Linked DNA regions of Oryza sativa Japonica Group. The protein of the gene in region 1 interacts with the protein of each later gene in a pairwise test. Links are inferred from orthologs where the notes say so. Each region holds a gene or a part of one and is shown on either strand. Other genes may lie near its edges.

Region 1 (12,973 bases):
AGGATAATAAGCCGAGCCTAGCTAGACCGAGCCGAGCTGGCTCGACATCCACCCCCTACACGCGTGCCTTTGCCCAAATCTTATCTCCCGGGAGGCTCACTTCCCTCCCCGAGTGGCTGCGACGACCTCCGCAGCTCGAGACGAGGTGCCACTTCTTCTTCTCTCTCTCCATCCCCCATTCCTCCCCTCTCTTCCCGTGTCCCGTCGTCCACAGCTCCCCGACCAAATCCCTAGCCCTACTATTCCCGCGCCCGCCCCTCCCTCGCGTGGTCACGCCCGACAGCGCCGTGCCGCCACCGCTTCTTGCCCTATTGCCGCAGTTCTTCAAGAGGCTTTTGTCCTAATTTGCTGCAGCCCGGTAGGTATTATATATTTTTGTGGTTGGTAAATTCGGCAGCAAAAAAGAAAAAAAAATAATACCGAATGTTATAAACCCGAGCATCTCATGGTGTCCATGTATCAGCATATATGATATGTTAGGATCGGTAAGGATGCATAGCACACGATTACAACCACCAACTCCACCTCGAAGATAATATAGCGTAGTGTTTGCCAGCTTCGCACGTTATGGCCGAATTCTTATGTATAACAAATTTACCATGGTATGTAAGCTCAAAAATGCAAAACTAATTATCCTCGAACCTAAAAAAGTGTATACATGCAAGAGATGATCAATCCCACATATAAATACATGCAAATAATACACGCCCTGCTCGACAGCCACTGCTGCAGCTGTACCTAAGCTACTAGCTGTGGCCGCGGTGTGCATCCACAACCGTAGCAATGGCTGCTCAGCAGGCCCATGATCTCTGAAAAAGTTCCTGCAAGCAGTACATATGTATGTACAGTTGTACACACCCTCGCCCCTATTCATCCTCTTAAAGGAGTAAGGAGTAATGACAGTCGATATGTGTTGGTTGATTAAAATTTAGAAGAGAACGTTTTTGAATAGAATTGTGAACTTACTCGAATATCGTTCTTTTGTGTATTGCTTTTGTTATGCTTCACCTGACTCTATCTCTGTGAAATGGCAGCTAGTATATTGAAGGTTGAAGCTTTGTGGGTATCCAGCAAGTATTTCAATGGCGTTGCTACAGTTTGGAGGTACCTTGGCCCCCAAACTTGGGGAAAAACCTCAGCTGTTGCCCAGGTCACCTGCACTTACAAGAGTTATTTATGCTGATCCAAGATTTCTGGTGTCGAAAAGTGGGTATGTGAATGTGTTCTGATCAGTGAGATGTACTAGGAATACTAAAATAAAGGACACATTGATATTATAAAAAGGCAAGATTTCTGAGTAAACTGAAGATGATATATCTCTTTTTGTGCAGTAGTGGAGGCAGGCTTAAACACCTTGTATCACCTACTGCTAGTTTACAATCACGGACATCTTCTCGACTATTTAACCATGCACCATCACCGAGATTTCGCCATCGAAGGAGTTCAAGGTTCATTGTCAGAGCTGATGCTGTGAGTTACTTCATTTGCTTTTCTTCTTTGCTGGTATTATTAGAAAATCCAGTTTCCTGACATGGATTTGATATTTTAATTTACAGGATTTCTATTCCACACTTGGTGTTTCAAGAAATGCTAGTAAATCTGAAATCAAGAGTGGTAGGTGTGGTTTTATTTGTCAGTTTAGGGCATGCAGTGATTGGTGCTCCGTACAATCGTAGGAGTATTACCCAGCTTTGCTTCTTCTCTAGTTTGAGCCTGGTTGTAGGTTTGTAGGTACCCTATAATTTACCAAACAAACCAGACTGCTTTCATGTGGCTATTAGTCGTAGATTACTAGTTTTAAATCATACTGTTCACGTGTGAAACAAAATATATGTACAACAGAAACTGTTAAGCTTCCCAGGGAAGATATGAAATATATAACTAGTCTTTTTCAAACTTGGCCATAGTGAGCTTTATGGCCCACTTGTTTGTTCTCGAAAGCTTTACTATTCCTACTAGTAACTCAAATATTTGCTATTTCATCTAATTTGAAGGCTATCTCAGCAAAACCCCTTGAACTATTCTAAGACAAGCCTATGCTGTCTTCAGTATCATTTTCTGCAACTGATCATCTTGCGTTCTAGACTCGATACTGTTTATATTTCTGAAAATCTATTGTTGGCAACTTCTCATTGATGCATTGTTTGTATGGCCCTCAATCCCTGCCCTCCACGTGTGTGGGCAGAAATTTTGAACAAAAATCCCAACCCACACCCGTAGATAATCTAGGATTTGTCCTATCCAAATAATGCCTAAGGGGATATTATGTTAGAAATCCTTCAGAGTCAATTTTGATCAAAATATGTGTAGTAGTTTAATGTTGCTTTCTATTGTAGTTCTAAAATGGTCCTTCTTTTCCAGCCTATAGGAAGCTTGCTAGGAGCTACCATCCTGATGTGAACAAGTAAGTACTAACCATTATATGGGAATTGTGTTTCAGCTACACTCGATATATTGCTTCTTTTTCTCCTTTCGATCCATTATAAACCTGAGTACTAGTTGTTGCATTACCTTTTTCATAACTACATAATCAAATAAGCAATTGTTATGCTTGTGTATTTTTCTTTAGAGATCCTGGTGCTGAACAAAAGTTCAAGGATATTAGCAATGCTTATGAGGTTAGTCCAGCTAACCATAACCAAATCCCATTGTTTCTTATGACTATGTTGTTGTAGGGTTACAGGTGCTTGCCAGCTAACATAAATAGGATTGCAGGTTTTGTCTGATGATGAGAAGCGATCAATCTATGATAAATATGGAGAAGCTGGTTTGAAGGGTGCTGGAATGGGAACAGGAGTGAGTGTTCCTAGAATGTTGTCCAATTCTGAAGTATGATCAGCATGACCTTTATATGATATTGATTGTATGAAATTTGTGAATCTGCAGGATTACTCAAACCCATTCGATCTCTTTGAATCATTATTCGAAGGCTTTGGTGGAATGGGGGGAATGGGAGGCCGTGCTGCTCGGAACAGACCAATGCAGGGTGATGATGAGGCCTACAATCTGGTACTCAATTTCAAGGAAGCGGTGTTTGGTGTAGAGAAAGAAATTGAGATCACCAGACTGGAAGGCTGTAATACATGTGATGGAACTGGTGCCAAGCCTGGAACGAAACCAACCACATGCAAAACATGTGGAGGACAGGGACAAGTGGTCTCCTCAACAAGAACGCCACTTGGAATATTCCAGCAGGTCTCCACCTGCAATACTTGCGGAGGCACTGGTGAATTCTCTACCCCGTGCAACACTTGTGGGGGTGATGGCCGAGTGCGGAAGACAAAAAGGATCAGTCTAAAGGTTCCTGCTGGTGTTGATTCTGGAAGCAGATTGAGGGTCCGGTCTGAGGGGAATGCTGGGCGGAGAGGAGGCCCTCCTGGAGATCTTTATGTGTTTATTGATGTTCTCTCTGATCCTGTTCTTAAGCGAGATGGGACAAACATTCTATACACATGCAAAGTTTCATATATTGACGCAATTCTTGGGACAACCGTCAAGGTTCCCACTGTTGATGGGATGGTTGACCTGAAGATCCCCTCCGGTACCCAGCCAGGCACAACGTTAGTGATGTCCAAGAAAGGTGTCCCACTCCTCGGGAAGTCAAATGCTCGTGGAGACCAGCTAGTGCGTGTGCAGGTCGAGATTCCAAAGCGTCTGAGCAGCGACGAGAGGAAGCTGATTGAAGAACTTGCAAACCTAAACAAGGCTCAAACAGCAAACAGCAGGAGATAATTCCATGAGGCTTCATTGGACAAAATGCTTTGGCAATATGCAATTTTAACGCAAATTGCAGTGACTAAGTGAGCATGAACTGGTAAATCACTTCACAAACTGTACGCTCATGCTGCGCCGTACCATCGGTGGGAACTGTGAATTCTCATGTCTGTAACTTCATTTTTAAGCCATAGAAATCTAGTTCCATCCAAAACACCAAAACGGATGGTGTTTTACAGTAGCTTGTCATATGCTTTTAGGCGAGCTTATTAGTCTATTTTTCATAATACTTTTTCACAATTTTGAAAGGCCTAGGGAGAAATATTTAATGGTGCAAAAGGGACGAGTTTTGAAACATTTGTTTGTCGCAGAAGCACCAGACCATTCTGATTGTTATTGTAAGCTGTAACATCAAAGTTTTGGCAGCAGGTTTTCATGTGCTCTTAAGCGTTGGGGGTTTGTTCCGTTTGGTTTTCAACTGTATGCTAGCTTTCTCTATTAGCCAATGTAATGGCAGTTGCAAAATCTGTTGTAGTGCAGGCGTGCAGCTAAATGCAGTATAGCTGACTGTTAACTTTAAGCTGATTGTTCCATGCATGTGCCAGTAAAAGGCCAGTCAGGAATGAGTCTCATGGATCAATATATGGTGCAGACATGTCAGTAGGATATAGGAGTATTACATTATAGTTTTTTCAGCTTCAATAACGTTCATGTTAGCTTGTACATTGTATGGCAACCCTTCCATACTTGCGTTAGCCACAAAAGTTCACCATGTTAGCTTGGCTTTAGATCAGTTTAAACTGTCCTTTAATAGCAAATTAATAATCCATAAATGAAATTTTACTTCCACTGTTTACCAGTGCTACTACTGTTCTACCTCCAGCGTTCAACAGCTGAGAAACGTGAGGAGTCCAGCACCAGCAGTACCATTTACTGCAATGCGAGAGAGATGTTCTCCGTTTCCTCCTTCACTGAGGCTTAGGAGTAGGAGTAGTAGTGATTTTTTCGTGTCGACTTGTTTAACATTATCGTTAACACCATCAAGTGTCAATGCCAGTAGCCTGCTGCTTCTGATCATTTCTTCCTTCCCTCTTCTAACGCCATTATCGTTTTATCTCACCTTGCATTTATGTTCAAGTGACCATGGTTCTTGACAGAAGCAGCCCTTGTTCTTTCCTGTCCCTTTGTTTGTTCAGTACGCTATTATTCTCTTGGGTACTAGACCTTGTATAAACCGGTTGTGAAATCCTCAATCAAATAAAAGTTAACTCGAAATTTGTGGCCTGTTCCAAGTGTTTGGCAAACCAATATGTATATTATCCACCCGATTATCTAATGGCAATACAGTGCCTAAAATTCCTGCTTCCGGAGTCTTAAACTTTACCCGAATCCAATCTGGAAACCGAAAAGACAGCTGCTTGGCTGATGGCAAGTCACTGGGTACATTGATTTGTGTTAATTTTCAGTCCAATAAAACAGCGCAAAAATTGTAAGGGTGATCCCTCTTTAGTAAAGCCATGCATTCTGCAAACTCTGTTGCAATGCAAGCTGTATCCTATATCCAGTGCCGATGAACCAATTCTGTTTGCAGACTGTACCCTATCTCTACTCTACAAGCCAACCAAAGGAAAGTGTTTGATCTGCAGTGGAATACTAGCAGGTATTCCACCATTTCAGGGTTGGGAGTGTGATTGATATGCAGGAGATTGACATTGTGCAGAACATTGGCCGTCAGGCTGCCGCTGCCGTCGCCGGTGGTGTCGGTGAGAAAGCCCGGTGGTGGTGGTTGTGCCGGCGGCGAGGAGTGGCTGCAACAGGATGGGCTGTTGTGCATGGGCGGATCAGCGGGTGGCTTATGGCGGTGGCCACGCTGTTCGCCGGCGACGGACCCGGCGGCGGCGGCCTTCACGAGGGACGGCGCATGATGATCCTGGATAATTTCGAGACTTCGGGCCGGCGTGCGTGCAAAGCCCATACATATTCTACGCGCAACTGTCACGCACAAAAACGAAGTTTTTAGTACCACATGGAAAATCTATGACGACTGACACCGGCATAAAAGACGACGCGCTCGCATCGCTCCTGGCGAGCTCGGTGGCGTGAGCTTGTTACCCCAGCTGCGGGGGGGCGGGAGTTGGCATGTTTCGGCTGCTGGAGAAAATGAGGTTTCTCCCTCGATCGAATATGGATGCAAACATCCTCCCGACTTTGGCCCACGAGGGAGGGAAGGTGTGAGTCACCCTGGGCTCTTGACGGCTGCGTCATGGAGCGAAGAGGACGCTGAATCGTGGGAGAGGTGTGTGGTGGCCGGTGCCCGACGACGGCGCCTGGCGATGCGTGGGGAGAAGGCGAGCAGTTGTATGTGAAGAGGACGCTGAATCGTGGGAGAGGTGTGTGGTGGCCGGTGCCCGACGACGGCGCCTGGCGATGGGTGGGGAGAAGGCGAGCAGTTGTAGTTGGGACCCGCCACACCCCGCACGTGCGCAAGTCCATGACGTGAGCGCTCCCGGTCATTAGGAGCCACGTCAGCTGGCGGCCTCCGCCGTTGAGCTTTTCCCTGCCAACCGACACCCTTCTCCCCACCCATTGGCGAATGCCCTAGAGGTTTGGGTTGAGATAGGAGTAGAGGGGAGTGAGGTGGAAGAAGATTGCTAGTTGGCTTGTGGGTTCCACGTGGGCCCTGCACTGACTCAGCCACCACGTCAACAAAACCGGAAAGCAATACTACCTTGGGATTAAAAGTGGACCGTTTTGCAAGATTAGGGGTTCAGGGCCGTTTAAAACTCAACGACAAGATAAGGGACCTTAGATGAACTTTTTTGGGAGATGAGGCGCCTGTGCATATGACCCATAGGCAGGCGACAACGCGGCAGCAGAGCGCTGCACGACCTCCGCCTCCCCAATCCGTCCCGTCTCCTCGCCCGCCGCCCTCGACTCCCGTCTCCTCGCCTGCCGCTGGCGCCGATCTCCATCCTGCTAGCAGAGGTGGCGCCGGCGTCCTCCTGCTCCCGCCGCATTCGCATCCTAATCCATCCCATCCGGCCTCGGCCTCGAATTTCGTCTCCTCGCCCGCCGCTTGCGCCGATCCCCATCCTGCGAGCAGAGGTGGCGCCCGGCGTCCTCCTTCTTCCACCGCATCGTCGCTCGCCGGTGAGCATCCCTCCCTACCCACACCTCATCAGGTATTCTGCGTTATCCCTCAAAAAGTTTGGGGGTTCAACCGAAACAGGGTTAGATCTGCCTCTGCCCAGCTCCACCTACTTTCAAGTTGTTAATTTTGATTTCCGTTTTTAGCAGATGTAATTTGGTTATTGAATCTCATCCAAACACCCTTAGAACGAAAAATGTAAGCTCACATAATTTGTACTCATCCAAACTCACATAAATTTCTTAAGAAGAATCTAGACCACAAACTACCCATAGTCACACAAAATATCTTTTTATCAAGGTATATTCTTATAAGTAATTTTTATTCCACAAAATTTTCTAAAGGACATACTGTGACACTTGGCATGAATCTAATTTAACATTCTTTCTTTATCAGGTTATAAATTGAAACCATTGAACGTACTTTGTCTTCCCGTCCCTAAAACATTGTGATATATCTGTAATATTTTAATATTTTTAATTTTAAAAATAATTTAGACTAATAATATAGATATTTAAATTAGGTAATTAGTAAATTCAAATCAACTATAGTTTGGAATAAAAAAACAAAATGATATATGCCAAGTACAATCTAATAACAATAGAATGCACTTTTGGTTAATGTTTACTCCTAATTTCTTAATTTCTAGTTTGGCTCCCCCCACCGTTATGGTAAAAAATCGTTATGTTTTAACTATTTATCTGCTAGAGCATATGTAATATTTATGTAAACTATGTTCTTTATTACCAATCAAAATAGACACCTTACCTACTTTCATCAAAAGAAATAAAAAATGTAGTAGGTATTATTCTGGAATACTCCTCGTCGGAAACATATGGAACGCATTTCCCTCAAAACGCAAAAACCGGGGCCCCGAGCCCTCGACACCAACCCCGTCAGATGTGAAGCCGACGGCCCAAATGGAGGCCAGCGGTGCCAATGCGTAGGCCACGCGTGCCTCTGCGCAAATCTTATCTCCCGGGAGGCTTCGCTCCACTTCCCTCCCCGAGTCACTCAAACCATCCAATCCCCCCACCTTCCCTTTCCTTGCCCCCATTCCCCACCGTCGCAAGGAAAAATATTATTAATAAACAATGATGTTGATGTATTATTATTAAACAATGATATTGATGTATTTCTAAATATTTTCACGTATTATTTATTAAGTGTCAGTGATTGAAATGGATCCTGGTCGGAAATGAATCCTGGTCGGAAAATGGTTACTAATGTTTTTCCTTCATATAATATTTCTGGATATGTATAACAATGTGGGTCAGCAATATTGAACTATGCAAACCATTACTCTGTACAATCTTTTCTTTTCAAATGCTGGCCACATTTCGCTCGAGCTTACTGCTCATGTATGCAGCTCATGGATCCTGAGATCTAGACGTCAACGTGCTTCCTGGAAAGAGAGAGGCTCAGGCATGAGAGCATACCTCTAAAATAATGTCCGTGCTTACCTGTGTGCTTGATAACATGGGCTCATCCTGTAGCAGATCTCATTCTTTAAGTGAGGCTGAAACAACCAAAAATGCAAAAGTAAGTTAGCACTCGGACTTATTGAACAAGTAAATGCTAACTCAATTCTTGATTTGAGAGTTGCCACATTTGGTTTCTTCTAATTCAGCTGGTAACAGTCTGCAGACATTGACAGGCGAATTTTGCAAGAGACAAAAGCAGAGCAACACATCCACAAGCTCTTACTTCTTGGTATTGCTAACTTTCCCAAATTTAAGTGGTCATTTTCCTTGTCACAATTATCTGTGCTACCTTTAGTATCTATTGGTTCAGAAAATTAATTGTTTATGTTGTTCCTATTTACCTCTATAAAAAAACCTTTCTCATGTTATTTCCAAAAAAAAAGAAGATAAATAAATGTATCCTAGAAATTTTTAGTTTGAACTTGTTCTCAATGTGGATCCATCCTTCTTTCTCTCTCTCAATTGCTTCTGTTTTAAGGTGCGGGAGAATCAGGGAAGTCTACGATATTTAAACAGGTGATGAATGTTATATTCCATGGAGAATCATAATCCGTACGCCGCTAGTTAGTCTGATGTATTCTTACTGTTCACCTGCAGATTAAGCTCCTTTTCCAAACTGGCTTTGATGAGGCAGAACTTAGGAGCTACACATCAGTTATCCATGCAAACGTCTATCAGACAATTAAAGTATGCAATACTGGAAAGGGTGTGTCTTTTTTTTCTTATTGCAAAGTGGGGATTATGTAGGAGATTCGACTAGGGATTTGTATTCTGTTCATAAGGAAATGCGTTCATACTTTTCCTTTTTGTCGAGTAATGTGTTAAATGTTAACAGATACTATATGAAGGAGCAAAAGAACTCTCACAAGTGGAATCAGATTCCTCAAAGTATGTTATATCCCCAGATAACCAGGTTTGTGCTTACTCTTTACTCAACAGTTAAAGCTAAATCTGTGCATATGAACATGTCTTGTTAAATCTGGGAATACAAACATTTTGATTTGCAACATTTCTGTTGTAGTCAAGCTGCTCGGCTCTATGTTTTAACCTGTTAAGACCTTGTAGACTGTGCTCGGCTCTATTGTAGTCTTATATTTTACACGGTCATTCTATAATGAAAACTTGAAAAAGATATCTATTGAACCGTACAATGTACTGAACAAAGTAGAAAAGAACAATGAGATTTTGTAACATTTATTCTTCCTTGTTTATTTGATTGCTTCAGACAATTGTTGATATGCTAAAAATAACTTGGTATCAAATGTGGGTGTTATAAGATTCAATTTTTTTCTCAACCAGGTTAAAAAAAGTATACCTTTGTGCATTTACCTTGTTCCGTTGCTTTGGAACTTTAAAGGAAAACTGACTTTTCTTAGGCATTGAAAGACAAATATCACCAGTTTCACACTGTACACCTTACCAACCAATTTTGTTTCTTAGATGTCATTTACTTTGTCATATCATCAGGAAATTGGAGAAAAACTATCAGATATTGATGGCAGGTTGGATTATCCACTGCTGAACAAAGAACTTGTACTCGATGTAAAAAGGTTATGGCAAGACCCAGCCATTCAGGTGAAAACAAATAGCCATTCAAATCTTTTGAAGTTATATAGTTTTCCTGGCCAGGTGTGCTGAAGCAATGCTCTATACTGTAGGAAACTTACTTACGTGGAAGTATTCTGCAACTTCCTGATTGTGCACAATACTTCATGGAAAATTTGGATCGATTAGCTGAAGCAGGTTATGTGCCAACAAAGGTGTGCTGTCCATGTTCATAGACAATTATTTACATATTCTCAGATATTTGTGCTGACACCATTTCATGTTGATTTTTAGTCTACTTAGTCAGAGGTTGTCAAATGGTTAACTATGTGTACTGAGTCAGAGGTTGCCAAATAGTTTTAAAAGATGGGCATATGTTTATCCTTATCTTTTAAATAATATTGGAGGCTATCCTTTAAAATTCAATATTAGGGAGGAGAAACTATTATTCTACCGTTATTACGCAGTCTACATAACGAAGGTAAAAAATGTCCCTGTGAAACATAGGGTGCAAAACTGCTGTGAATAAAACTCTACTTATCTAAGCACCTTGAGCTTTTGAGTTCCCACATATTAATCTTATGACACTAGCATATATTTTTTTTGTTCAGTTCCTTCAATAAGTTGCAAACCACAAATATGATCACTGTACCATCCACTTTTGCAACCATTTCCCGTCATTTCTTAAGCATAGAAAATTGTTTGTCACTTGTTTAAGTCCACACTGCATCAAAATTCCAATTAACATTGTGTGTGCTAAGTGAAGATATGACTCCATATTTCTGCATTTAGCAGTCTGATGGATAATTTGTGATTGTACCTTGTCTAATGGTTCGTTTGAAAGGCTGGTAGTTGATCTTCCATACTTAAGAATGCTTGCAGTATTATAGTTGTCAATATTATGAGTCATTTTGCAGGAGGATGTGCTTTATGCAAGAGTACGGACAAATGGTGTTGTACAAATACAATTTAGGTAATCTGCTGACACTATTTTTTGCACATTTTTTTGCTGGTTGCTCTACTATGTACAGAACGACAAGTTGAAGTCCTTTTTTTCTCCCCTTTCACTTCTAAGATATGACCTGAGAGGTTCTGAATGTAGCTGTTTTAAGATGAGTTGAATCATCTAGTTAACTGGGTTTCTTTCTGCAGTCCTGTTGGAGAAAACAAAAGAGGTGGAGAGGTATATAGGTTGTATGATGTAGGAGGCCAGAGGAATGAGAGGAGAAAGTGGATTCATCTTTTTGAAGGTGTTAATGCGGTAATCTTTTGTGCTGCCATTAGCGAGTAAGTACAATTTTTTTGATTGTTGAACTTATCCTAATCTGCTAAGTTCTTCTCATAGGCTTCTTGTTCATTTCAGATATGATCAGATGCTATTTGAAGATGAGACAAAAAACAGAATGATGGAGACCAAGGAACTCTTTGACTGGGTTTTAAAGCAAAGATGTTTTGAGGTCTGCATGCATCCATCTCTGCAACCTTTGTGCTCATGCTTTTTTTCTCATTTTGAAACTAATTACGGTGCTATATTGACCATCAGAAAACATCATTCATTCTGTTTCTCAACAAATTTGATATATTCGAGAAGAAAATACAAAAGGTAAGGCCTGCTCTTTGTACCAATGCATAGTTTAGTACTAAATGTTACCAACATTTATGTTTACGCTGGTTACGTAGGTTCCTTTAAGTGTGTGCGAGTGGTTTAAAGACTACCAGCCTATTGCACCTGGGAAACAGGAGGTTGAACATGCATATGAGTGAGTGCACTACTCGCCCTCTCAGATGAACATGGGCATTTGGCCATTTGTAATGTTGCTGCATGGTGCACTTATATGCCTTGATAAGTTTTTCCATTCTAATGTTATATAGTATCAAACGTTCATCATTACTGTGGCTTATGGTCTGGAGTGACGTTTTACAGGTTTGTCAAGAAGAAGTTTGAAGAGCTCTACTTCCAGAGCAGCAAGCCTGACCGTGTGGACCGCGTCTTCAAAATCTACAGAACTACGGCCCTAGACCAGAAACTTGTAAAGAAGACATTCAAGTTGATTGATGAGAGCATGAGACGCTCCAGGGAAGGAACTTGATTCAGAGCTAAGACTAGGTTGTAAGTCACACAGGGAAGGTAATTAGGACGGCGAGAGGAACAAAGTTTCACACTGTCACAGCTTTATCTGTTGTAATTCTTTTACACGTGGACCATTGATTGATCTTTTGGTTCTTACTGTGGGCTGTTCAGGTCTGTACCCTATTTTTTGTTCTCTAGTTAGCCATTGTGCAAATTTTCCTTGAATCAGATTCTCTACCTGTTGTCTATGTGTGTTATCTTGGTCTGTTAATTTGCATAGCCCACTTGTTCATTACAAAAGGAGATCTTTACTACTTACAAAAAAAAAAATCTAGTGGGAAAGTGGTTGCAAATAATTGAAGAAATTATAGCTAGAAGGTGTATCCATGGTGGTGGCTTGAGCCCTTGAATCCCGTTATTTTGCATACAATTACATATGTTATTATAGCTTGCAGAGTACACCATTAGCTGTAGTTACCTGGTCCACCGTAGTATACATGCATACAGTAAGCATTAATTCCATAACTATCGGAGGTCGATTTTGCTATATATTTGTCGACAAATTTTTCCTTTGACAGATGTAATTACAGTACAATCGTAGTGTAATTATATTGTAACTTGCATGTAATTACACTGTAACTAACTTGTATGTAACTTTTAAAAATCTCTCCATAACATGTTATTTTGGTAAAATAGAGGTCATGGGAACAAATTCTTTCACATATGTGTGTGCTATGATTTGTTTTTTTTTCTCATCAAAATAAATCTTATAATAGATCTAACGATTCAAAATTATGTGAAACTTACATATAAATTACAGTGTAGTTACATGCAAGTTACAGTGTAATTACATATAAGTTACAGTGTAATTACACTACGATTGAACTATAATTACATCTGTCAATTTTTGAGGAAAAATTTGTCGACAAATGTATAGGTAGTCCAGGTATATTTACTTGGATTACAGGATCCTGCATAGGCTTTAACGGGGTTTGGATTAACAAGCTTCTT
Region 2 (10,746 bases), on another chromosome or scaffold:
TTTAGGAATAAACTAATAGATTAAATTGTAAGGGAGGGAGTACTACTAGCAAGAGAGTAGAGTACGGTCCTTTGAATTTTTTGCTAGTAGCTCCGTGTTGACCTCGCACGTAAATCATCTCAGAATGGAGACACTATGGTAACATTTTCAATCGAGGAAAATACGAGATAGACATGGGGTTGTAAATTTTAAAAAAAAGAGCGTATCAAGTTATCAACACTCTTTTAAGAGAGAGAGTATCATCAAACACATAATTAAAAAATTTAGAGATAAGTGAAAGGTGCACGGTGCACCATTGGATGCTTAGATGGCTTGAGAGTAGGAATGCAAGCATAACAGTCAAGCGGGATTATTCTGCCCGTTTATCTCACTTTGAGTTTTTCTTATTTTTAATTTTATATTAACATGTGAGAAATTAATTAGCAAGCGAATTTTTATACTGACAGAGGAATTACCCACTTAAATTTCTACTTGAGAGGACTTGGGTTGTCACCCAGATTGAACTCTCCCTGTTGAAAGTTTTTGAAGCGTCTCTCCCCAAAAATCTTACTTTTGACAGCTAATCCCCTGTAGAAACTTAAGCTGCTTGCTAATACTACCAATGAACTTAATATGCTGATAGCTTACGGCGTGGTCAGGGGCTGCCGGACCAAATGGTGAGCGCTTTCCTAGCAAGTTGCGTCGTAGACGACCACGCAACGCGCAAATACACAACCATGTGCGCGTTTACAAGTTACAACCATCCGAGACCAATCTGCTTCAGTTCAGAGCATCACTGAACACCTGTCTCCCCCACATTGGCAGGGAAAAGTATTGCTTCTACACACTTGCATTTTTTTCCAGAGAGAATTTGTAAGTACTTCCTTTTGTTGGTAATAGTATCTGCTAGGGAGGAGCATCATTTGGTGGTAGTACCTGCGAGGGAGAATATCCATGCCTATTACATTCATATTTACTTCTCGCTTTTCCTACGGATTTTTTTACTCCTTGAAACAATCTCTAAACGAGAACGGTACTTGCAATCCATTATTCAGCTGGCAGGCAGCGTAGGTTTTTTTTAACCATTTTCTTCTCTATTAAATAATGGATGTTAGTTTGTCCTTAGCACTCCCAACACATTTTCCATTCAAAAAAAGATCTCTAAACATTCACGCCACTGTCCGTTCCATCTTCCAACAGTGCATTTCTCAGACCTTTGAGCATCGGTCTCCCAAAGAAGATGGCTTGGGTATCCAATTTATTCTCCAGAACGAATTGCCAGTACGTGCTTCAACTGAATGCAAATGAAACCATCCAATCCAACGTACAACACGATGTGGAGTGACAATAACTAACTTTCAGAAAGGAGAAATTTCACATTGCATATCCATGGAACTTTTGTCCAATACATTATTGACTAATCATACTCATCAGGGTGGTGTCTTTTCGCCCCCAAGGCCAAGCAGGAAAATGCCTCGTTAGGAAACTAGGGGATAGCATAGCTATAGCAGCCACTGTCCATGGCTGCACGCATGGTCCCCTTAAATCTACTCCCTCCGAACCATAATATAAGGGATTTTGAGTTTTTGTTTGTAGTGTTTGACCACTTGTCTTATTTAAAAAAAAATTTGAAATTATTATTTATTTTATTTGTGACTTACTTTATTATCTATCGTACTTTAAGCACAACTTTTTGTTTTTTATATTTGCAAAAAAAAAGTTGAATAAGACGAATGGTCAAACGTTACAAGCAAAAAAAAAAACTCAAAATCCCTTATACTGTGGGACGGAGGGAGTAGATTGTAGAGTGCTTCAATTGTAAATCCATGGCGTTACATGCTACTCCAATTCGTTGTATCTGATACTATCACTTTATTGTACTGAACTATCTGTAGTAGTAGTAAATATTTTTCCCCACCACTTGTATGTTTGGATTTGGGGATTTAGCTGGGATTTAGTTCAGGCTCAACCAAAATCCTCAGCAAATATTACCTCGCTCACTGTCACTAGAGGCCACCGCCGGCGACGACGACGACGACGGAGGCAATGGCTGGCCTGGCGAAGACCAGCGTGAATGCGGTGACAATGGACAGCTTCACGGCAGCCGCGACCGCCGATGGGGTAGTGACGGAGAGGTAGACGAGGAAGACGCAGACGAGGTAGGCGAAGACGAGGGCGAGGAGGGCGGCGACGATGGCCGCGTCGGCGGCGGCGCTGCTGGGGCTCATCCCGTTCGCCAGGAAGTCGAGGATAGGCTTCAGCAGCCTCGCGCAGCCCTCGGCGGCGCAGAGGGCCACAATCGCCACCTCCGGGAGTGAAGCCATCGCCGCCGCCGCCGCCGCCGCCTTGAGGTGACTATGTGAGAGTGAGACTAGCCGAGCACAAAGTAGCAGCTGGTGGGAGGACAGACGAGAAGAATGTCAGCAGGAAGGGTGACAACGAACAAGCTAGCGGCCACAGCCAGAGAAAAACTAGAAGCACTGCTACTTGGAGAACTAGTACTACAAGCAAATGAGGATGTCATTTTGATGTTTCTAATAAGGTTTTTAATTGACGATTGAAATAGCTCGTATAAGAAGTGCAACAGATAAGTTGTATTGAAAACAGAACAGTGTAGATATGTGTTTACTTATTTTATCTCTTATACTTTTATGAATTCCTAATCATATGATAAAAAGTATTGACATGTCGTCACCCTATTTAATAAAAATGAACTTTTTGTAACGTACCCGGAATTCTTTGAAGTCAGAAAAAAAGGAAAATAAAGAAAAACTTAGCAAAATTTTGATTTTGATTTTGATTTTTTTTCTTTGTCTTTTGAACTTATTTTTGGCGTTCTTGGATTTTTCATGCATCTTATAATGTATTTGCAAGCAATAGATATAAACAAAAAAATGTTGAAGTATTAAATCAAAAAGGGATAAAAAGAATTGAAATAAGTGGTACACACTTGAAATAACCTTCCTTAAGTCTCACAAGTTTTTCATCTCAATCAAAAAGACGAAAACATCCAAAATTTGATTCAAATTGAAATAAAAACAGTGAACTTGTATGAATTTTCAAAACAATATAAACTACACATGAGAAAAATCCCAGAAATTCACCAAATGAAGTTCATGACTACACTAACTTCCAGTAATTTTGGCACAAGCTTTTGAGCTCTGTAACAATCCTGAAAAAAAAAATTCCCAGACTCTCAGTTTTCCCTCTCCTCTTCACCTCTCCCCCTTGAGGTCATTTCGTCGAACATTTGGAGTGCCAACCCGAAGTCAGCGCCTCCAAGACGACCAAGCCACCCTCTGTCCGCGATTCCCGCTGTGCCAAGGCTGCACAAAGCCGACGCCGCCCCTGCCGCGCCCAGGCGCCTTGCACCGCAGCCGCCGTGGCCAATCCAATGCCGCCGCCCTCTGCCCTACCTCTGCCCGATGCCGACCAAGCCAATCTCCGCTCTGCCGCGGCCAATCGACGCCGCCCTCTCTGCCCAAGGCGACGACGCGACACGACGACCCCGACCGCCGCTGCCATCCCTCTGCAAAAAGCCTCTGGGAAGGCTGCGTCCCCAGCCTTCCGCCGCGATTCCCGCCGAGGCCGCCCACGCCATGTCTCCCGTCGGCCTCGCCCGTGCGCACCAACGGCGAGACAACCGCGCGCGCCTGCTTCTCGCTCCTCCCTCGCCTATAAATCGAGACCTCGCGCCGGCTGACTCCCCACACCACACTCGTTCTCCAACATCCCTAGACGAAGCCCTAACCTCTCTGTTTCGACGGGAACGGCCGCGCCATCACCGCACCCCCGAGCCGGCCGAACAGAGCCACCGCCATCACCTACACCATCGAGCCGTCGCGTCGGTGAGCCCCCTTCCTTTTCCTTGCGCCAGCATGACCCCGGGAGCCCCTTGAACCCATTTCATCAACTAATTTTAGACCCCCCCCCTCGCCGGAGCGCCGCCGCCGCCATTGCCGCCGTCCGCCGCCTCGTGAACCCGTCGCCGCGCCGTCACGCACCACCTCCGCCCCGAATCAAGCAAGGAGTAAGCCTCCTCGTAGTCCCTAGGCCCTCCCCTATCCATTAATCGAGCCACTGTTCGCCGTAGCACACTGCCCGCCGCCGTCCCGAACCGCCTGCACTGCCGGCCATGGCGCTCGCCGCCTCCAGCCACCCCCGGCTGCGCCACCGCCTCTAGGATGTGCGCAAGGACCTCCTATAGCTTCCACGGCCTTCGGCCGAGCCATCCCCGCGGCCGCTCGTCGCCGGCGAGCCCTTCCCGAGTCGCCGCGCCTCTCTGCCCATCGAGCTGCCTGTAGGTTGAAGGAGGAAAAGATAGGGGGCTGTTCAGATTTTGTTATTTTAAATAAACCTTACTAAATTTTATTATTTTAAAATTTTGATAAGATGATAATATTGTTAAAATTTTAGCAGAATTTCTTATGTATTTATCAAACTTAACAACAAACTAAATATATATATTTTTTAATAACTTTAAAAAAAATGATATGGTTGAAAATGATGTAAAGTGAAGAGGCCCAGTGTCTTTTTAAGAAATGCAAGACACTGATAGGTAGGCATAGGATCTATATGTAATTTCTGGAAACTTTAATGATTGGCCGAATGATTAGAGGAGTGCCTTTCACTGACATGTGGACCCACTGTTTTAAATCGATGCACACAATTAGAAAACGTTTTCCCTGTAGGAAAACGTACTCTATATAGTGCGCTTTAGTTTCTTTTGTAAACAAATTATTAAATCTGAGAAAAGGTTTCTGTTAATTATTTTTGTACTGAGAAATTCTGAAACTTTTGAAAAAAATTATATAAAAAACATTTTAACTCCGATTGAGGTTAACCAAATTTTGTTAGATTATAATAATTTTCTCTTTGGTATTGTACACTCAAACTTAGCACCACCATACTGTAAAATTTCATTAATTTAAATTTGAATAGCAACCTTAGTATTTACTGTAATTTAAATCTTAGAAACGCGATAAATTGCACATACATCAGATTTAGGCAATTATTTCTCCTAAATTTATATTAAATCACCCTATATACGCTGAATATGTTCATGCACCATGCATCATATTTTATATTAGAGTTTTACTGGATGTTCATTTGAATGTACGTTTAAATTTAAAATAGAGGACAAATCGATTGTCGCTGTTGACGAGAGTGTGCAAGACCGAGAAATATTCGAGTAACTCCTGAACAAGCCAAGCCCTATTCAATTCTTCCTTCGAATATGTTGAATCCTATCCCCAACACCGTAACTCCTAAGCAAGGCAAGCCCTATTCAATTCTTCCTTCAAACATGTTGAATCCTATCCCCAACACCATCTCAAAGCAATTGCCAGCCTCCTTCCTTTCCCCATGTATTCACCTTTTGCCGCTTCTCCTTTTCCACTATGGACGAGAGCTCGAGCCAACACCATCTCAAAGCAATAGCCTAGTGCTTTTCCTTTCCCATGGACAAGGCCACGAGGCAGTTTACAAGAACTACGCTTTCACTAAGGTGAAAATAATCATCAATGGGAAAAACTGTTTTGACACTGTCAACTGTTAGGACTCAGGAGAACCGAAACATTAGTAAGTCGTACCGTATGTGGCCTGTGGCCAGTATTTTGAGACAAACATATGAAAGCAAAACATGGAGAGGGTGGTACACTGATACATCCACAAAAAAAGGGATACAGATCAACGTCATAGTAGTATCTACAACTCTGGCTATCTCCTAATCTCTTATGTACTCCGGACAATGCAACTTCAATATATTACACTGCTCGTGTTCAAGGCAATCAACAAAGGACCGCAGGGGAACTATTCCACATGCTAACAAATGGTTAATGCTAAACATCTGGCTCTACAGTAATGTCATACACCCTTTCTGGATTGAAGAACCCACAAGATATGAACAAACTTAGTGTGCTAGAAAAATTCCTATGTGTTACTCGCATCGACAATAAGAGAAGTAAGTTCATTTTCTTGCTGACTTTTAAATCGTGTCAGAGTAGGGAGGCTCCTTTTAAATCTCTCAGGTAGATACCTGGACAATTCAGGAAACAAAATGTTATATAGTGCATAAACCAATATAGTAAATGATAAACGGAAATGAGGTGATACAGGAGGAACAGATGATTGTAAAGTCTAGAAAATAACTCACATGTCAAGTCTTTCAGCAATCGCTCTGCGCACTGACGAGTTGAGCCCATAAGCGATGGAATTAAAAAGCCCCTAAAGATACCATGAAGCATTAGAATCCATGGAAAATGTGTTCACAGATGATGTAACGCCAGAGAAGTTTTGTGAGATAAGCTCAAGCTGAGGTAAGCCTCACAAGGAAACAAAACAACAATACACTTCTACAAACAGAACTTCAAGAGGACTCCACGAGACCATGACTCATCTATGCATTATATAGAGCCAATTCTTTGGATACTGAAGGCTAAGTATGAAATACAACCAATTTCATAGGCCTGTTTCAAGAAAGAGTAGGGTTGGAACTCCAGCGCTCCCATTTATAAAAAATTATCAACAGGACTGACAACAAGATACGTGGAGTCCTCTAAGCCTCTTTCTCTAGCCCTAAACTTAAAAGGTTGGCTCAACCCACATTATCAAAGTAGTTTCAATATGTTATGAAAACTCTTCAGAACTGGGTAACTAGCATCTAGGATGAAAATACTCACCATAAGTCCGGCAAACCCAACATCAAGAATAGAGAGCCAAAATATCTTGTGGCCTGGATTAGCAAAGTCATGCACACGATTGATTGTTGCGAAAGCCCATGAACCTATTAGAATGAGAGGGTAATAACCCCACCGATTAAACGCCTGCAAAAGAAAACAAGTCAATAAGCTGTATCTGCTCAAATAAACATTCCTATCTGCTACCAGACAGTAGACAGTGGTGCGAGGCTGATCCAGACATCCAGGTAACATGATAATATAAGTACTCCTAGAATTTACACATCATTTTTGCTCCAAACATGATAACATAAGGTATTATACTCCAGTTCATCTCAAGACTGGAGGTATAAAAAAAATAATAGGATCAAATGAGTTACTCTCTGAATTCATGATAGTAGGAAGAATACAGTAGCACATTAGGGGAAAATATTTCAGTACACATAATGAGAAGAGATGTGTAGGAAATTTATACCTTCTTGTCTGCCCTCACGTCAGATTGAATTGATCGATCACTTATGCCAACAGCCATCTACAAATTCATCCATTATCTTATGAAAATCAGAACATATAAGCAAAAAGAGCAGAATTTACAAGGATTCAATACAAGCCTTATTTATCATCAATATAAAATAGAAAACTGTATGCATACCCTTGTCGCGTTGTTTATCATGCGATTAACCTGAAAGTATGTATACCCATTGTAGAGAATGGCACCCCACAATGGAAGATAAAAGGTTACCAAGTGCAAGACCTGCATATAAAAGACATATAATGAACAATTGCTAAAATTCTGACAAAGTGACAATATTTTTATTTTGAATGAGTGGTCTAGCTAGGATCAAGATGGCAAATTAACAGAAGACATAGATTGCAGTAAAGATATGGAAAAGAAAGAAGCCAATGCACAAAAAGTCAAACATACAAACTAAGAGAAAGCATGCGTATACTCTCAGAGACTCACTAAACTTTATGATACCATCTGTCTTGTGCAAGGTACGTAAGCAATTCCAAATAAATAAATGTTACTACCTCCATCCCACAAAGACTTCATTTCTGACTATGAATATAGACAATACTTGCCTAGGTTCATAGCTAGAAATGAAGTCTTTTTGAGACAAAGGTAGTACTTATTCTGTTGAGTGGAGTTTGTTTTGGATCATTTGATAACAGCTCAAATACTAAATGAAAGCAAAAACATATAGGAACGTCATTAGCACCAATTTGGGCCACTCTGACTACCATGGATAAGGTTCAAATGTAAGCTGTAGATAGGTGTTAGCAGTGTTAGAACCAAGTTAACTGATTCATGACAAAACACAAAAGGTCACATGCCTTTCCCATGCTTCCTTGTTGGATCCAACACCAGGTGCCTGGCCTTCCATAATCACTTCCAATTGAACGTAATACAGTTGTAGCTAGTGAAGTTCCTGAGAAACATATAAAAGGAAAATTATTGTCACAAGAACTGTAAATTCAAGCAGGGCAACAAGATTAATAGGATGAGTTACAACACATGTTCGCAATTATGTCAAGTCAACAAATGTCTTAAGTTGTCTACCATTCAGTATATACATTAGCAGACAGGAATGAAAAATGCATGAGAAACTGGAACTTGCATACTTGGTTCTTAGATGACAAACAATGCAGACAACAATAACAGAAAAGGAGAAACAAAAGTATGTGCATCAAATCTACATAATGCTTAGATATAAGAAATCAAAATGCTCCCGCTTGTTCCCTCTTATCAATCACATACACTTCAAATAGATGAAACAGCTATAAAATTGTCAATACTTCAAATGAAAAAGAAGCACTATACCAAATCAACAAGCATTTCTAACTTCTTAATAATATTGCACCAGCTAATTTGGCACGCACAAGCTCCAAGAAAGGCAGAGAAGTGGTCAAAAGAATTGCATACCCCACACATACAGGTGGAAAATTGATCCAAACTCCTCAACATCCGTTTTATGTTTGACAACGGTGCGATGAAGAGTGAACGCTATAGTGGTTGTCCATAGAAAAGAAGCCACACAGAAGAAGTGTGCACTGTAGTCATGAGCAAAACAGTAGAATGCATTTGATGGGCCCCTGCAATATGAAAAGCATGTGTGTAAGAATATTTCACTAGCGCATAATAGAAAGTCAGCAAAAAAAGGGGTAATCATGAGTAACAGTTCCAAAAATAACAAAATAAAGAACAATATGTTTTTTCCTTCACAGTAATACACTTTCTCCTACATTAGTTGCAGTTATTTAAAGTCAGGAAGTAACTACGTGCATTATCAAATACAATTTGAATAACACAGTCAGAAGCATACCCCATAATAGTGAATAAGCTGCAAAACATATCCTGCAATTTAGACAGAAGCTGTCAGAAAAACACCTTGAATAGAAATGTGATATCATTTCTCTCAAACAAATTTCCAAATGTCTTGAAGAAATTGAGATTAGAGACATCAGCTTGTCTTGCAGCAATTAATAATATTAACAAACCAACATGATAATTAGATAACAAACCAACTGTACTTCCAATCCAAGAAGACAGTAGCACGAAATGTGATCTCCCAGCCAATTGCCTACATGGATACTTATAGGGACATCACTTGCCACATTGAAGTAAGGGTCTATGACATAAACATCCTCACACGGTTCACTAAAAAAAAAATGGAGCATGCCCTATGCTACTTCAAGTGCCGATCAGATAGCAAACATCTTACAAAAAAAAAATTGTCGAGAACTGCTTCAGCTCGCACGCATAAGCAGCAAAAACAGAGCATCCGTTGGTTAAACTGACGGCGTGAACCCCCAATATTTCTCAATCGGAGGCGAAATGAACACCGCACTGCCCTCAGATCCCCACTTTGCGCTCCCCAATTCCAAATCGCAACCCAACGCAGTTACGCAGATCACGAGGCTAGCCTCCCGAACCCAGAACCCCCCAAAACCAAGTAGTTCCAGATCTGAGCCGCTCACCGAGACCGCGAGGAAGTAGACGAGCTTGAAGGAGAACTTGCGGAGCTCGCGGAAGAGGAGGTAGCAGAGCACGATGAAGGAAGAGCCCGCGAGCGAAAGCGCGGCGGCGGAGGTGCCGACGGCGTCGAGGACGTCGCGGTCCCTCAGCGCCTGGCTCACCGCCGCCGCAGCCGCCGCCGATGCCGCCATCGCCGTCGCCGGCGAGCGAGCGATCTCCGCGTCGACGAGGAGGTGGGGGGAAGGAAGGAATGGCGCAGTGGAACGGCCGGTCGGTGGTTTGGTCGTTGGGTTGGGTTTGGGTTTTGGACCGGATTTGCCTGCCTTCGTAGCGAAGGCTGTGGTTTACTTGGTCTGTCTGGTGGTTAGTCTAATGGGCCGAGCCAGCGTACAGACGTATTGCTTTTTGGGCCTTCTGTGTGTATGGGCCCATCCATGGATGAACTCGGTATAAGTCTGCCTTTGGTAGCTCCAGTTGAGAACTTTTCCTTAACACCAAAATGGAGTGACTCATTAGCACATAACTAATTAAGTATTAGATAAAATAAATTTAAAATTTACATTTATATGAATTTTTAAACAACTTTGATATAGAATTTTTTTTAAGAAAAACACACCATACATGTGTGCGAGAAACGAGATAGTATAAATTAGAAAAGGGGAGAAAAGAATGCAACCTAAGATTACTGATTTGGAAAAGGTTTTTTTCTTAATGAATTTTTATTACTGACACTGATGGGTCATGCTTAGATCGTATCTAGATTTTATTTAACCAAAAGGTTGGGATCATTTTTGTAAGATTTTTTAGAACGTGTATGCTCTATCGATTTCCTTTTTTATAGGATGTATGTATATTAGTTTGTGCTTCTAAAACTATAAATAAAGTATATACTCCCCTCCGTAAATAGTATATGATGCTTCTCTATAAAGTGGGTTAGTTTCAAAATAGAGTGAATTGTATATTGGGCTAGTTATTATGACTAAAGTTTCACTTTGGACTATGGCACATCCAACATTTTTAGTTTATACAAGAGTCTTTTACCTTGGGTTGCACATTAGACCACTCTATCCATTTTCACATTCCATGTTTCCACTCAGCCACTGCTTGCTTCTA

The links.
Region 2: the proteins of guanine nucleotide-binding protein alpha-1 subunit (region 1) and G-protein coupled receptor 1 interact in binary tests that used the Arabidopsis thaliana proteins (3 or more experiments, as listed by UniProt). The link is inferred for Oryza sativa Japonica Group from reciprocal best matches to the Arabidopsis thaliana genes GP ALPHA 1 and GCR1.

Annotation. Positions count from the first base shown.
Region 1 is NC_089039.1:15,698,232-15,711,204, reverse strand, and holds guanine nucleotide-binding protein alpha-1 subunit, read left to right. Parts: upstream 1-6,522; 5' UTR 6,523-6,864; intron 6,865-8,231; 5' UTR 8,232-8,311; coding exon 8,312-8,404; intron 8,405-8,502; coding exon 8,503-8,575; intron 8,576-8,824; coding exon 8,825-8,862; intron 8,863-8,943; coding exon 8,944-9,033; coding exon of another isoform or gene 9,034-9,052; intron 9,053-9,181; coding exon 9,182-9,259; intron 9,260-9,813; coding exon 9,814-9,921; intron 9,922-10,004; coding exon 10,005-10,106; intron 10,107-10,808; coding exon 10,809-10,864; intron 10,865-11,043; coding exon 11,044-11,178; intron 11,179-11,254; coding exon 11,255-11,348; intron 11,349-11,434; coding exon 11,435-11,494; intron 11,495-11,571; coding exon 11,572-11,651; intron 11,652-11,815; coding exon 11,816-11,981; 3' UTR 11,982-12,334; downstream 12,335-12,973. Other genes in the region: chaperone protein dnaJ A7A, chloroplastic-like, read left to right, coding at 1,083-1,210, 1,332-1,470, 1,557-1,614, 2,362-2,404, 2,570-2,618, 2,716-2,796, 2,887-3,732. UniProt on the Arabidopsis thaliana protein: Exhibits a fast rate of basal nucleotide exchange. Guanine nucleotide-binding proteins (G proteins) are involved as modulators or transducers in various transmembrane signaling systems.
Region 2 is NC_089040.1:5,226,425-5,237,170, reverse strand, and holds G-protein coupled receptor 1, read right to left. Parts: upstream 9,910-10,746; 5' UTR 9,825-9,909; coding exon 9,636-9,824; intron 9,013-9,635; coding exon 8,981-9,012; intron 8,751-8,980; coding exon 8,581-8,750; intron 8,087-8,580; coding exon 7,992-8,086; intron 7,411-7,991; coding exon 7,309-7,410; intron 7,189-7,308; coding exon 7,132-7,188; intron 6,804-7,131; coding exon 6,660-6,803; intron 6,205-6,659; coding exon 6,134-6,204; intron 6,017-6,133; coding exon 5,911-6,016; 3' UTR 5,609-5,910; downstream 1-5,608. UniProt on the Arabidopsis thaliana protein: Together with GPA1, may regulate the cell cycle via a signaling cascade that uses phosphatidylinositol-specific phospholipase C (PI-PLC) as an effector and inositol 1,4,5-trisphosphate(IP(3)) as a second messenger.